Oryctolagus cuniculus: one gene and its partners. The protein of the gene in region 1 interacts with the protein of each later gene in a biochemical or structural test. Links are inferred from orthologs where the notes say so. Each region holds a gene or a part of one and is shown on either strand. Other genes may lie near its edges.

The links.
Region 2: of the proteins of MAP3K7 (region 1) and USP4, one has a biochemical effect on the other in vitro, tested with the Homo sapiens proteins (2 studies listed by BioGRID). The link is inferred for Oryctolagus cuniculus from reciprocal best matches to the Homo sapiens genes MAP3K7 and USP4.
Region 3: the proteins of MAP3K7 (region 1) and TRIM31 form a complex in vitro, tested with the Homo sapiens proteins (2 studies listed by BioGRID, with this or other methods). The link is inferred for Oryctolagus cuniculus from reciprocal best matches to the Homo sapiens genes MAP3K7 and TRIM31.
Region 4: the proteins of MAP3K7 (region 1) and NOD2 form a complex in vitro, tested with the Homo sapiens proteins (2 studies listed by BioGRID). The link is inferred for Oryctolagus cuniculus from reciprocal best matches to the Homo sapiens genes MAP3K7 and NOD2.

Annotation. Positions count from the first base shown.
Region 1 is NC_091436.1:81,933,401-81,936,900, reverse strand, and holds part of MAP3K7 (mitogen-activated protein kinase kinase kinase 7), read right to left. Parts: intron 1,562-3,500; coding exon 1,431-1,561; intron 557-1,430; coding exon 427-556; intron 1-426. UniProt on the Homo sapiens protein: Serine/threonine kinase which acts as an essential component of the MAP kinase signal transduction pathway. Plays an important role in the cascades of cellular responses evoked by changes in the environment.
Region 2 is NC_091441.1:99,944,506-99,947,940, reverse strand, and holds the end of USP4 (ubiquitin carboxyl-terminal hydrolase 4), read right to left. Parts: intron 1,514-3,435; coding exon 1,425-1,513; intron 1,135-1,424; coding exon 973-1,134; 3' UTR 501-972; downstream 1-500.
Region 3 is NC_091436.1:140,373,303-140,376,802, reverse strand, and holds part of TRIM31 (E3 ubiquitin-protein ligase TRIM31), read right to left. Parts: intron 2,616-3,500; coding exon 2,385-2,615; intron 1-2,384.
Region 4 is NC_091449.1:34,279,672-34,283,261, reverse strand, and holds the end of NOD2 (nucleotide-binding oligomerization domain-containing protein 2), read right to left. Parts: intron 1,587-3,590; coding exon of another isoform or gene 1,514-1,586; exon of another isoform or gene 1,239-1,513; coding exon 1,127-1,238; 3' UTR 501-1,126; downstream 1-500. UniProt on the Homo sapiens protein: Pattern recognition receptor (PRR) that detects bacterial peptidoglycan fragments and other danger signals and plays an important role in gastrointestinal immunity.

The sequences.
Region 1 (3,500 bases):
AAGGCCAAATCACATTTGGGTCTGGAAGAAACTAACTTCAAGACAAAATATTTTCTGTTATTTGATTTAAGTTCTAAAATCTAGTAGAACATTCAAAAACCTCCCAAACATTCTGGGTTTGGCATAATTTCAATTTCTCACTTAGATTTTCAGCTCATGTTTGAGCACAGTCAATTGTGTTTGATGAGATCTGTAATTAGGAAGGAATATTTTATAACTCAAATAATCTTACAAATCATACTTTTCTTCTATGGAATTTGAGATGATGCATGAACTATTTCTAAAAGCTCAGAAAATCTATTATAAATCTATTTTCTTTTCAAAAAATATGATACAAAAATGCTGAGGTTCCTAATGAAACCACTGGAGCTACTGCACCAAAAAGCATTACATTTTTGCTCCTCTTCAACTTGCAGTTCTTTTTACCTGCGGTCGCAGCAATCCTAGCTTCTATTTCAGACATGTCAGCACTCATCCTTTTGCCCTCAGAGGTTGGGGGCAAGCTTTCCACACTGCTTCCACGGGAGGCTCCCAAGCTCAAACGTCCGGATTCACTCTGTTAAAATTAGAAGTCAATCTGAATTACTGAAGTTTGTTAGATTTAGAAATCCCGGGCCCTAGAAGGAAGAAGATGCCCAGAGGGATTCCTATAGATCTTGTCCTGCTCTTAACGAACAGGGAAGTTTGCAGGGGAAAGGAGAGCAAATCAAAACAGGCAAAAATATAATAAATCTGAACAGCTCAAAATCATAGATTTAGGACAACTCCTTTAACTGGATAGTGCTGCCAGACTATACCATTTTACATTTTTTTTAAGTTTGTTCTTTTTTTTTTTTGACAGGCAGAGTGGACAGTGAGAGAGACAGACAGAGAGAAAGGTCTTCCTTTTTTCGTTGGTTCACCCTCCAATGGCCGCTGTGGCCGGTGAACTGCAGCCGGTACACTGCACTGATCCGAAGCCAGGAGCCAGGTGCTTCCTCCTGGTCTCCCCTGTGGGTACAGGGCCCAAGGACTTGGGCCATCCTCCTCTGCACTCCTGGGCCACAGCAGAGAGCTGGACTGGAAGAGGAGCAACCGGGACAGAATCCGGTGCCCCGACTGGGACTAGAACCTGGTGTGTTGGCGCCACAGGTGGAGGATTAGCCTAGTGAGCTGTGGTGCCGGCCACCATTTTACATTTTTAACTGTCAACTATTAAAGTGAGGGATCATTATAGGGAGGGAGTTACAAAGTTGGCAAAGACAACAACTGTTATTTGAAAGAAAAACAGTTCGGTAACAAACAGAAGGAGAAATCTCATTTTGTCTTTATTCTTAAACTCATCGGTTCCAGGAAGATTTCGGATTTATATAATAGAAGATGGCAAATCATTAACTTCAATTAAAATAATGTTAATAAGGTTATCATGCAACTTTCTTAATATAACAAACCTGTTGCTTGGCTTGATTTTTCAACAATTTAGATTCTAGGCGTTTAATAGTATCATTTGTGGCAGGAACTTGTTCCACGTTAGTGTCACTTTTATTACTGGTATTTGTAGAAGCGATATCCATGAATGAACCTAAGAAAGCAGAACATTTATCACTACAGGTTGAGAATAATACAAACACTTCAGTAAACAGTATGTAAGTTAAATTCTTTTCTAAACTAGCAGGACATGAATAGAAATAAAGACATTTTAAGTTAATAAAGATAAATAAAGATACTTAAAACAAACTTGTTTTTTTTAATAATATTTACTTACTTATTTGAAAGCCAGAGACAGAGAGATAGAGAGTGAAGAGACAGAATCTTCCATCTGCTATTTTATTTCCCAAATGCTTGCAAAAGCCAGGGTTGGGCCTGACCAAAGCCAGGAACTGTAAACTCCATCCAGGTCCCCCACATGTGTGGCAAGGGACCCAAGTTTTTGGGCCACTACCTGCTATTCCCCAGGTGCATTAAGGAAGCTGGACTGGACGGGGAGTCAGGACTTGATCCCAGGCACTATAGTATTGGATGTGAATGTCCCAAATGGCAGCCTGCGCTGCTGGGCTACAACATCTACTCCCAAATGAACCCATTTCAAGTGGAACTTAAGGACAGCTGAATAAAGGAACCTAAATGCCTAAATTATCTAATTAGAATATCTAGAATAACTTAAAGTTTTTAACCTGATCTAGGATAAAAACTGAAGGCTTTTGATTGAGATGGGGAAGCAAAAAGGAATAGTAATTTGAAGGAAGTAATAAAAAATTCACTATGGAAAATGTTAAGTTTGAGTTCCTGTTTGGTATTAAGCAAGTAGTTCCATGTATGAGTATGGAGTTCCAGTAGGAGATGGAGAAAAACATCAGTAAATAGATGGTAGATAATGCCATTAAAGCCATGATACTGGGTGGAGTGAGCAAGGAAACATGCATAGATAAGCCCTGCACACTCTTACATTTATAGACTGAAGACATGAATAATCAGCTAATAAGGAAACTGGGAACAAATGGCAAGAGATAGAAGACAAAAACCAGGCTAGTGGGATTCTGGAAACCAGTGGAAGAACATGCTATAGGAAAGCCAGAGTAATAAACGGTGTCAAATGCTAGAGTCAAATACAATGAGAACTGAAAAATCACTTACTAGAGTCTAACTCTGTGTTACCATAATACAGAGATAATTGCTGACCTTGACAAGAATAATTCCACGGTAGTAGCAGAATAAATGTTCAAATGAAGTGGGTACAGTATAGAATGGGAAGAGAGATTTTTTTCAGAGAATGCAGAGACAGCCTAGGTTTGCTCTGGGAATGATTCCAGTAGAAAACTGGGATGGGCAGATGGGTATGATGCACAACTAAAAAGATTCACCTTTGGCTACAAGCTTGGATAGTGAAGCCATAGTAATGAAAGAACCTACAGTAGATGAGTGTAAGTGCAGACAGGTAGGCAGATATAGTACAGAATCTTGTGGAAACTGTCCTTTGATTACTCCAATGTTCTCAGAAAAATAGCAAACAATGTCCATGTCATCTTAGAGTGAGCAGTGGTGAGGAGGTGCCTGAAATTTGAGGAGAGGAGCTAAAGCATAAGATTAAGTCACTGGGACCAGTGCTGTGGCATAGCAGGTCAAGCCACACCTGCAGTGGCAGCATCCAATCTGGGAGCCGGCTCAAGTCCTGGTGGCTCCACTTCCGATCCAGCTCTCTGCTAATACACCTAAGAGAGCAGTGGAAGATGGTCCAAGAAATTAGGCCCCTGTATCAATGTGGGAAACCCGGGAAAAGCTCCTGGCTCCTGACTGGATCAGCCCTTGCATTTCTCTCTCTCTCTGCTTCTCTGTAAATCTTTCAAATAAATAAATAAATTTTTTTTAAAATTAAGTCATCTAGGAGAGAGGTGATGAACTACAAATATAAGTGTCCGGTGGCAATGAATACATAATTGAAGAGAGTGAGCACCTGCTGTCTCCAGCCATATTCAGCTGCACTGACACAGGCAAGGAGCAAACTAAGTGCCAGATTTAATCAG
Region 2 (3,435 bases), on another chromosome or scaffold:
GCTGCCCGCCCCTACCCCACGGGAGACCCGCAGCGCCACGTCCTCACCAAGCAGCGCGGAGACACGGCTACCCCACCCCCGCCAACGGTCACCGCGTGCACCCGATCGACCGCAATCGCGCGTGCCCAAGATCAGAAGCCCCAACATCCTCCCCACTTAGGTTAAAGGTCAGACAAAAAGCCCGGACAACTGTGTTCTTTCAGCCCCCGTGACCAGGAAGGGTAGCAGGGGCTCCGAGCACAGGAGGCAGCCAGAGGGGCGGCGTGCGCCGGGGGTGGGGCGGGGCGGGGCAGGGCAGGGGGAGGGTCGGGGTAACCCGCAGGTCCGGGCCCTCGGGTCCCCCTCCTCACGTGTAGGAGAAGCCATTGGCTGGGACCCAGTTGTCTCCACGACTAATAAGAGGCCCACACAGTATCCGTAGGTCTCAATTCATCAAGGGGGTGGGGGGAGGGGCGCACAACAGGGCTGCCAGGCTCCACGGGAGATTGAGAGGCAGAGGCCCCAACACCAGATATCTTCATTTCATTAGCAGGGAGGAGAGCTGGGAATTCCAAGATGACTCGAGGCTGAGAACCAGAAATGGGCTCCAGTGGCTAAGGTTTAGAAAACTATCAACCCATCTGAGCGCACAGAGCAAGGGCGACCCTGGCAGACAACCGGGCCGGGGACCAGTGTCCAGAGCTGCACAGGGACCCTGTGCCGCCGGCCGCCTCCGCTGACCACGCTCCTCTCCTCGGCAGGCACCCAGCACTCACACCTGTGCACCCCCACCCGCGCGGCTCCGCGGGTGTTACAGATGTCTCACCACCCGTTTAAAAGGAAAAATAATTCAGCCTCTTGACATAGCCCTTCTGAGCAAACAAGGTCTTTTTTTTTCTTCTGCTCATAAAAGGGCCTTTTCTCATCTGGTCTTTAGACTGAACACCAGGAGTCCCCAGGGCGTCCGGATGTCCTCCGGGGTCAGAGTCCACATCAGTTGGTGTCCATGCTGCACGCCTCCTCATCCCCCGAGGCCTGCTGCGAGCTGCCCGGTCTGGTCCCTCCGTCCGAGGAGCCAGGAAAACTGGCCCGAGACGGCGTCTCATAGAACTCATCATCCCGACGCTGGTAAAACAGCACGTACGCCGCTTTTGTCTGAAAGACAAGGGGGAAGGCCACTTACCGGCTGGCTGTCGTGCACCAATCTGCCGCCTTGCCCTGCAGACGCAGAGGTGGCCGCGAAGGCCCTTCCCCGGCTGCGGGCCCCTGCGCCCTTGCGAGGGGAGCGGGCAAAGGCAGGGCCCGAGGAGAGCCGCACGGTTCTTTCAGGAAAGGGGTCCAAAGAAAGGGCAGCCCCTCCTCCTCGACACGGTCACGGAGGAGCACCCTTCCCGCTGCCACCTCACAAAGGCAAGAGGAAGACGCAGGCGTCAGGGCCGACTCACCACGATCTGCTCTTCGGAGGCCAGGGACACGTTGCTGTCATCAAAGTAGTACCACTTCCCGTTCAGTTTGTTCTTCGCGTACGCAGTGTCTGCAAGTCAAAAGGACACCCACCAGGCCCGGAGTCAGGCTCGCAGCGAGCACACAGAACCCAGCACAGCAACGACTCTCAGGATGAAATAATTTACAGTGTCTTAGCCCAGACAGCCCATTGTTCCTTATGTATTCCTTCTCCTAAGGGTAAGCGTGGAGCTGTAAGGGGCCGGCACTATGCTGTAGCAGGTAAAGCTGCCACCTGCAGCACCGGCAGCCCAGCACAACAGGGCTGCAATGCAGCTCCCTGCTGAGGCTCCTGGGAAAAGCAGCGGGAAGATGGCCCAGGTGCACGAGCCCCTGCACCCACGTGGGAGACCTGGATAAAGCTCTCGGTTCCTGGCTTCGGTCTCTGGGACGTGGCTGGCGTTTTTGGCCATGGGGGAGTGAGCCAGGCAATGGAAGCTCTCTGTATTTCTCCCTGCAACTCTTTCAAATACCCTTTTTTAAAAAGATGTATTTATTTATTTCAAAGTCAGAGTTGCTGAGGCAGAAGCAAAGAGAGAGGTCTTCCACCCTCTGGTTCACTTCCCAAATGACTGCAAAGCCGGAGCTGGGCCGATCCAAAGCCAGAAACCTCAAGCTTCTTCTGGGTCTCCCATGCAGGTGCAGGGACCCGAGGACCTGGGCCGTCTTCCACTGTTTTCCCAGGCCACAGCGGAGAGCTGGATCTGAAACAGAGCAGTAGGGACTTGAACTGGCACCCATACGGGATGCCAGCACTGTAGGCAGCAGCTTTACCTGCTACACCACAGCACCAGCCCCTAAAAGTTTTAAAATAAATAATAAACTTTAATTTTTGGAAACTAAAAAATACAATATATCCAGTGCCAATGTTCAGGATGGTTCTGATCTAAATCTAGAGCCAGGGGCTCCACAAAGGCAGCTCGGATGTCTTAAAATCCAAGCAAAACAGACTCTGAAAAGACGGCAAGTCAGTGTCCTGGAAGGCTCACGGGACCGCTGCAGCCTGCTTGCTTAGGGCATTTGGGTTCGTGACCTAGGATGTGGACAACCTTTAAATTTATCTTCCTCTAAAATCCTGAGTCCCATCTGTAGGGGTGCGCATCTGGTGTGGTGGTTAAGCTGCTGCCGGGGATGCCCACATCAGAGGGCCTGGGTCCAAGTCCCGGCTCTGCTTCTGATTCCAGCGTCCTGTAACGCACACCCCAGGAGGCAGCAGGTGATGCCCCAAGTGCCAGGTGGGACTCGGCCCCAGCCGACGGCTGGTAGCATCTGTTGAATGACCAAGCAGATGGAACATCTGTCTGTGTGTGTGTCTATCTTCCAAATAAAGAGAGACAGAGCGAGGGAAAGCGAGGGAAAGCAAGGGCCGCCTGTCCTCACATCACAGCGTTTCCAGCAGGCCTTAAATGTCAGGTTAAAATGATGGCGATCCCGGCCGCCGTGGGATCTGAGCCTGCAGAGTGTGGTTTTTGGTTTCAATGCCTGTTGAGACTCTGGGCGCGGTGTTGGGGCTCCAGCCTCCCTACGGAACGGACTGCCTGTGAATGAGCCAGGCCAAGGCCACAGCAGGTGCTCATGTGGTCTGTGCCCGGCCTAACAGCAGCCACAGGGCTCTGTGCGCAGTTGCAACGAGGGGACCACAGTGCGCCCCCGCACAAGCAGCCGAGACTTGCGCAGGGCGTGTGTTCGCACGTGAGGACGGCAGCTGAAAGTGAACAGATACCAAAGTTCATCTGGGGAAAAAAGCCAAGTCACGACAGTGTGCACTGTGGGACAGCAGGGGCCTGACTGTCCCAGCCTCCCTGCACATCCACGTAGCCCTGTGACCAAGTCATGACCAATGAGATGGAGGAAGAGAGAAGAGGGGAACCGGCGGGGGCGGGGAGTCCCAGAGAAAGCAAAAAAAATGATGTCTTTCCCGCCTTCCTCGCGGGCCCAGGCTGCAGACACGCA
Region 3 (3,500 bases), about 58 Mb from region 1:
TCTCTCAACTTAGTAGGACCACATTTTCCTTCAACAGCGGACAATTAAGCATCTGAGCTGAGAGGTGCTGACATGCAAACTCTACACTAGAGTTCAAACACTCAGTACAAAAGACACCCCTCCAGAATGTGAAATATCTCTTTATTACTTTAAAAATATTGATGATTTTGATTGATATATTAAGTTAAATATTTTATTGGAATTAATTTCACCTGTTTCTTTTTAATGGGGCTACTAGGAAAACGTTAAATTACAGAGTATGCTGTGTGTTGTGGCCCAGCAGATTAAGCGACCACCTGGGGTGCCTACATCTCAAATCAGACTGCCAGGTCAAGCCCCCACTACTGTGCTTCCAATCCAGCTTTCTGCCACTAGACCTGGAAGACAGCAGGTGATGGCGCAAGTACTTGAACCCCGGCCACCCACGTGGACCACCAGGACGGAGTCCCTGACTCGTGGCTTTGTCCTGGCCCAGCCCTGGCTATTCTGGGCATTTGGGAAGGGAACTGACAGATGCAAGACCTCTCTCCTCTCTCTCCCTCTCCCACCCTCTCTGTCACTTTGCCTTTCAAATAAATAAATCTTTTTTTTAAAGCTCCATGGAAAATAAAATTAAAATATAGTTTTATTTTATGGCAAAAAAATTTGAAGTCAGTTAATAGTGTTTTCATTATATGCTTTTTTTTTTTTTTTGACAGGCAGAGTGGACAGTGAGAGAGAGACAGAGAGAAAGGTCTTCCTTTTCCATTGGTTCACCCTCCAATGGCCGCTGCAGCCGGCGCGCTGTGGCCGGCGCACCACGCTGATCCGATGGCAGGAGCCAGGTGCTTCTCCTGGTCTCCCATGGGGTGCAGGGCCCAAGGACTTGGGCCATCCTCCACTGCACTCCCTGGCCACAGCAGAGAGCTGGACAGGAAGAGGAGCAACCAGGAATAGAACCCGGCACCCATATGGGATGCCGACACCACAGGCGGAGGATTAACCAAGTGAGTCACAGCGCCGGCCTCCATTAAATGCATTTTTAATGAACTTTTTGAGCACCTCTCATATTTCAACTTTTTGCACCCAAATTAATGTATCTTTTAATTCAGTTTTTCACAAATTTTTTTAAAATATAATTTTTATCTATTTGAAAAGGAGAGAGAGAGAAAGACCATTGCTGGTTTACTCCCAGAATGCTCACAACAGCCAGGGCTGAGCCAGGTAGAAGTCAGGTCTCCCACATGGATGGCAAAGACCCTATTACTTGCACCATCACCTGCCTCCTCCCAGGGTCCCCGGATACACATTAGCAGGAATCTGGGTGGGAAGTGGAAATAGAACTTCAACCAGGCACTGCCATAAGGGATATGGGTGCCCCAAGTGGCATCTTTTTTTTTTTTTTTTTTTTTTTTTTGGACAGGCAGAGTTAGACAGAGAGAGAGACAGAGAGAAAGGTCTTCCTTTTGCGTTGGTTCACCCCCAAAATGGCTGCTACATCCAGTGTGCTGAGGCCAGTGCGCTGCACTGTTCCGAAGCCAGGAGCCAGGTCCTTCCTCCTGGTCTCCCATGGGGGCGCAGGGCCCAAGCATTTGGGCCATCCTCCACTGCCTTCCCAGGGCACAGCAGAGAACTGGACTGGAATAGGAGCAACTGGGACAGAATCCGGACCCCACCTGGGACTAGAACCCGGGGTGCCGGCACCGCTGGCAGAGGATTAGCCTAGTGAGCTGTGGTGCCGGCCCAAGTGGCGTCATAACCAATGCATCAAATACTCGCCCTTTAGCATTTTGAAGTTTTCTTGCAGGTGGCTTGTAATTTTTTTTTTTTTTTTTTTGACAGGCAGAGTGGACAGTGAGAGAGAAAGACAGAGAGAAAGGTCTTTCTTTGCCGTTGGTTCACCCTCCAATGGCCACCGCGGCCAGCGTACCGTGCTGATCCGATGGCAGGAGCCAGGTACTTATCCTGGTCTCCCATGGGGTGCAGGGCCCAAGCACCTGGGCCATCCTCCACTGCACTCCCTGGCCACAGCAGAGAGCTGGCCTGGAAGAGGGGCAACTGGGACAGAATCCGGCACCCCGACCGGGACTAGAACCCAGTGTGCCGGCGCCGCAAGGTGGAGGATTAGCCTATTGAGCCGCGGCGCCGGCCGTAATGTGTTTCTAAATTACATGCATGGCTCACATTATATTTCTAAATTATACCATGTAGTAGCTCACATTATATTTCTAAATTACACGTGTGGCTCGCGCTGTGATTCTAAAGTATATGTATCAGCTTCACCTGTTTCTACTGGGCAGTGCTAGGCTAGAGCAGTCTCCGGCATCCTGGCAGGCACTGGGTGCTCTGGCCAGAGACTAGGGCCTGGCTCTGCCTGGCTGCGATTCTGTCCCCGAGGGACTCACCTTCAGCAGCTGTTGGGGTGGCATTCGTTGCTTGGCCTCCAGGCGGTCCGTGAGATTCCTGAGAGAGTTGAGTTGTGCCTGGGTGGCAGTGTTGTAGACCTTACCCTCCTTGGCTTCCTCCAGCCCCAGCCATGTGATCCGGGACAGGAGGAAGTCCTTCTCCTCCTTTAGGGCCTGCCCCAAATGCTCGAATTCAGCCAGGATCCTTTGCTTCTCTAAATCCACCTGGGCCTGGGGGTGAGGGACAGGGAGAGAGAGAGAAGAGGTGGCCTCAACCATCTTTCCAGCCCACCTTATTACATTTTTTTATTTGTTTAGACGGAGTATCAACATAGAACAGTGTGCTGTGGCAGACGTGAGAAGACATGAGGAGAAGAAACTTTTTTTTTTCTTAAAAAATTAGTTTATTTGAAAGGCAGAGTGACAGAGAGGGCGAGGACGAGGGCGAGGGCGAGGGCGAGGGAGAGGGAGAGGGAGAGATCTTCCATCTGCTGGTTTACTCTCAAATGCCCACAATAGCCTGGGCTGAGCCAGACTGGAGCCAGGAGCCAAGAACTTCATCCAAGTCTCCTACGTGGGTGACAGGGATCCAAGTACTTGAGTCACCTTCCACTGATTTCCCAGGTACATTAGCAGGGAGCTGGATCAGAAGTAGAGCAGTTGGCACTGGAATCAGTGCTCATACGAAATGCTGGCATCGAAGGTAATGGCTTAACCCTCTGAGCCACAATGCTGGTCCCAAGAACAAACTTTTAAAAGCACTTCCAGGGCCAGTGTTGTGGCACAGCAGGTTAACCGTTGCTTACAAGGAAGTTGACCCATATCAAAGTTTGTGTTCTGGCTGCTCTACTTCCTATACAGCTCCCTGCTAATGCACCTAGGAAGACAAGTGCTTGGGAAGACCCAAGCACTGGGGTCCCTGCCACCCATATGGAAGACCTGGATGGAGCTCAGGGTTACCGGCTTCTGCCTGGCCCAACTCCTCACTATTGTGGCCATTTGGGACGTGAACCAGCAAATGGAAGGTCTCTTCCTCTCCCTCTTGTAACTCTGCCTTTCAAATAAATAAATAAAACATCTTTAATTTTTAAATAAATTATGCTTTCCTTTGTGCTC
Region 4 (3,590 bases), on another chromosome or scaffold:
AGACTTCTCTCTGGCAAGCAGCCACCTGAGCCCTTGCTCATTAAGTGCAGCGAAGAACGATTCAACACAGAAGGCTGCTCGTAGAAGAAAGCTGTACACAGATCTCCCCCGTCTTTCTCCTAACGTTAAAGACTCCTGGAGCCACTTGGAGAGAATCAAGAGAGACACGGGGCCTCTGGCGCACCTGCTGTACCCTTTCTGCCTGGGCACGCCAGGCTCCCGCACCGCTCAGAACTTCATGCTGGGTGAGACCCTTCAGAGCCGCAGCCAAATGTGTTTTGATTGCCAGGCCTATTTCTAAGACTTGCTTCTGCCTGAAGCAATAAATCACCCGGTTGAAAACATTTCCCTCCCCCTTCCAGTCGAAAATGGTGCCTTAAAATTTGACAAGTTTTATGATTATTTAAAAATGTTTGCTCTCTCTGTGTAACTCTGACTTTCAAGTAAATAAATAAATCTTTTTAAAAAATGTTTGGTCACAACAAAGACAGCTTTGGTGATGCAGTTGTTTTCTGTGATTATTTATAGCACAAAGTTCATGGTCATGTTTTCTATAAAAGTATAAACTTGAGAGAATACAAGGTGGTTTATAAATATTAAACAGTTTTCACACGTCATCATCTTTGACACAGGACCTGATGGTTCACGAAGGTTTCATAGGCATCCTATTGAAAGACCCAGAGACGTCTGCTTACAAGGAGGGGCCCGATTTTGCCCTGTAAACCTTCACTCCATAACTGAGTGTCCCAAAGCATTCTGGGAAGCCTGTCATCAACATTCAGGACACAAACACCAACCAGAAGCCTGGCGCGCTCTGCGATGCTGGCCCAGGTTAATTTTCAAAAGGTGCATTTGGATGAGGAGCTGTTTCTCAAGGCCACACTGAGGAGTAATTGATTCCACTGGAAAGGAAAGTCCCCCTGTGATCTCAGCTGGAGTGTGCTTGTATCTTTTGTGCAAATCCAGAATGTCTTGAGGAACAAATGGCGGTCATGGGTCCCCTTCCAACAGCACCAGAAAAGACAGCGGGGGCAGTTGTAGCCCCTCCCGCCTTGGACGCTGGGTCTGGGGTGGGGGTGCCACCCGTGATATAGCACAGCTGAGGACAGGAATCTTCTCGATCTCATCACGTGCAGCAGTCCAGGCTGAGTGGCAGGACCAGAGGTGACAATGGCTGGGCGGATGTCCAAGAGTTGAGACGTGGCAGGAAGTTGCTTCTTGAATACTCTTCCCGCTTCCTGAGAGGAATGGGCAGGGGTCTGTGCTAATGCTCACGTCCCACTGACCCACGTCAGAACCCTGCAGTGCCTCTTGTATGCCCATCGGCTGAATCTTGGGAGGCACTCGAAGGCAACACTAGGCCTGGGAGAAGCCTGTTGGGGAAGACTCCTGGGCTCCCGGCTCTTCCAGAGGAAGGACAGAGGAAGCTCTGTCCTTCTGGGCAGGACAGAGCTCAGTCGGAATGGGCCGCTGCCAGACGGGACGCAGCTCCTGGGGGCCAAACGCACAGACGTCACAGCAAGAGTCTGCTGTCCCTGTGGCTGAGCGCCTCCATTTCCTCTGGAGAGAAAGGGTTCCCGCGGAGCCTGCAGGGGACCAAGTGGAGAGGTCTGCGTGAGGACAACGAAAGAGCAGTGCTTTCCAACCACGCTGCTCCGCTCTCAGCCCACGCCGGGGAGGGGCCCAGCCCAGGGGCAGTGCTCCTGGAGGGCAGTCTGCGCTGGGACCCAGGGCACGCAGGAAGTGTTCTGCATGCAAGGCTCCGTGACTTTGCAGAACGCGGGTGCGCCACACGCGGCCCAAGGCCGGCCATTCTTTTTAAGGCAACAGCAGAATCTGTCAAGAATGCAATGAGCAAGTCCTGCTGCTCCCCCAGGCTCTGTCAACAGGCAGCAAACAACATCATAACCCTTAAAATATCAACCTGATGCTGGTGGCTTGTGCCTTGGAAACAGACTGTGACATTCCTTAGTGCTGTGCAGTGGCTTCACCAAAGAAAGAGAGAAAACCTACACGCTGCCCAGGACTTGATGACCTCCCAAGCTACAGGGATTACTAAATGATACAGAGAGAAAACTCTCCAGCCCCGTCTTTAGAAGCTTTTATTTTTAATGTTGTCATTTGATATCAACATTTGCTGCTGCCTTGATATGCTTTTTGAGGAAAGGACAAGATCTGCACATTTGAAGTGGGGGACACGGCCTTGCAGGGATGAGGCATTAGCCCTGTAACATGCGGGAGCCCAAAGCGCTTGGGCTGAGACGGTAGGTGTAGGGCTGGTGGTGTGACACACGGGGTTAAGCCGCCACTTGGAATGCTGGCATCCCATATCAAAGCACTGGTTAGAAAACTGGCCGCTCCACTTCTGATCCAGCTCCCTGCTAATGTACCTGGAAAAGCAGCAGAGGATGGCCCAAGAACTCGGGCCCCTGATACACATGTGGGAAACCAGGATGGAGTTCTTGGCTCCTGGCTGTGGACTGGCCCAGAACTGGCCATTGCAGCCATTTAGGGAGTGAACCAGCAAATGGAAGATCTTTCTCTTTCTCTCTTTCTCTCTCTCTCTGCCTTCCAAATAAATAAAATAAATCTTAAAAAAAAAAAAAATGACAGTAGGTGTGGAGAGTCTGCAGATGCAAATTGGTGTGCCCATCTGCCCATCTGCTCATCCGAGAGGACCAGCCCTTTCTCTCTGGATAATTACTGAAATTCTGCATGGGGTTCTGGATTGCCAGCTCTTTTTAAGAAAACCCTGTGGGCCAGCACTGTGGCATAGTAGGCTAAGCCCCTACCTGCAATGCCAGCATCCCATATGGGCACTGGTTCGTGTCCTGGCTGCTCTACTTCCAACCCAGCTCCCTGCTAAAAGCCTGGGAAAGCAGCAGAAGATGGCCCAAGTACTTAGGTCCCTGCACCCACGTGGGAGACCAGAAGAAGCTCCTGGCTTTGGATCGGTCCAGCTCTGGCTGTTGCATCCATTTGGGGGGTGAACCAGTGGATGGAAGACCTCCCTCTGCTTCTATCTCTGCCTCTGCCTCTCTGTAACTCTGACTCTCAAATAAATAAATAAATCTTTTGAAAAGAAAAGAAAACCCTGCAATACAGTTTTAAAATATTGGTATGTAGCCCAATATGTAAAACCTGTTCATGATGTGTTAAGCCAGGGGAAACCTTCCTGATGGTTTTGAGTGAGAAAGAGATGTTTGGAAACAAGGAAGACAAATCCTTGATTTCAACACTCTCTCCACGTGGAGGAAGGACTACAGCTTTCAGTTACCTAGAGCTGAACATGCGACTGTGCAGCAGCTCCACCCTGTGTAGCCTCCATCCGTGTTGCAGGGCTCTGATACAACAGCCTGACCTGTGAAGGTGGATGCAATGCCCAGGGCACAGAAGCTGTGCTCCTTTATTTCATTCTCAACCATACCCCTATCCACTGGGCTGTTTAGAACAGAGCAGTTCTCAGTAGGTACTCATGATTTTCAAACGAAAGAAGCCAGGCCAGTGCTGTGGCCCAGGGGCTAAAGCCACGGCTTGCTGCATCCCATACAAGAGTGTCAACTGGAGTCCTGGTTACTCAGCTTCAGATT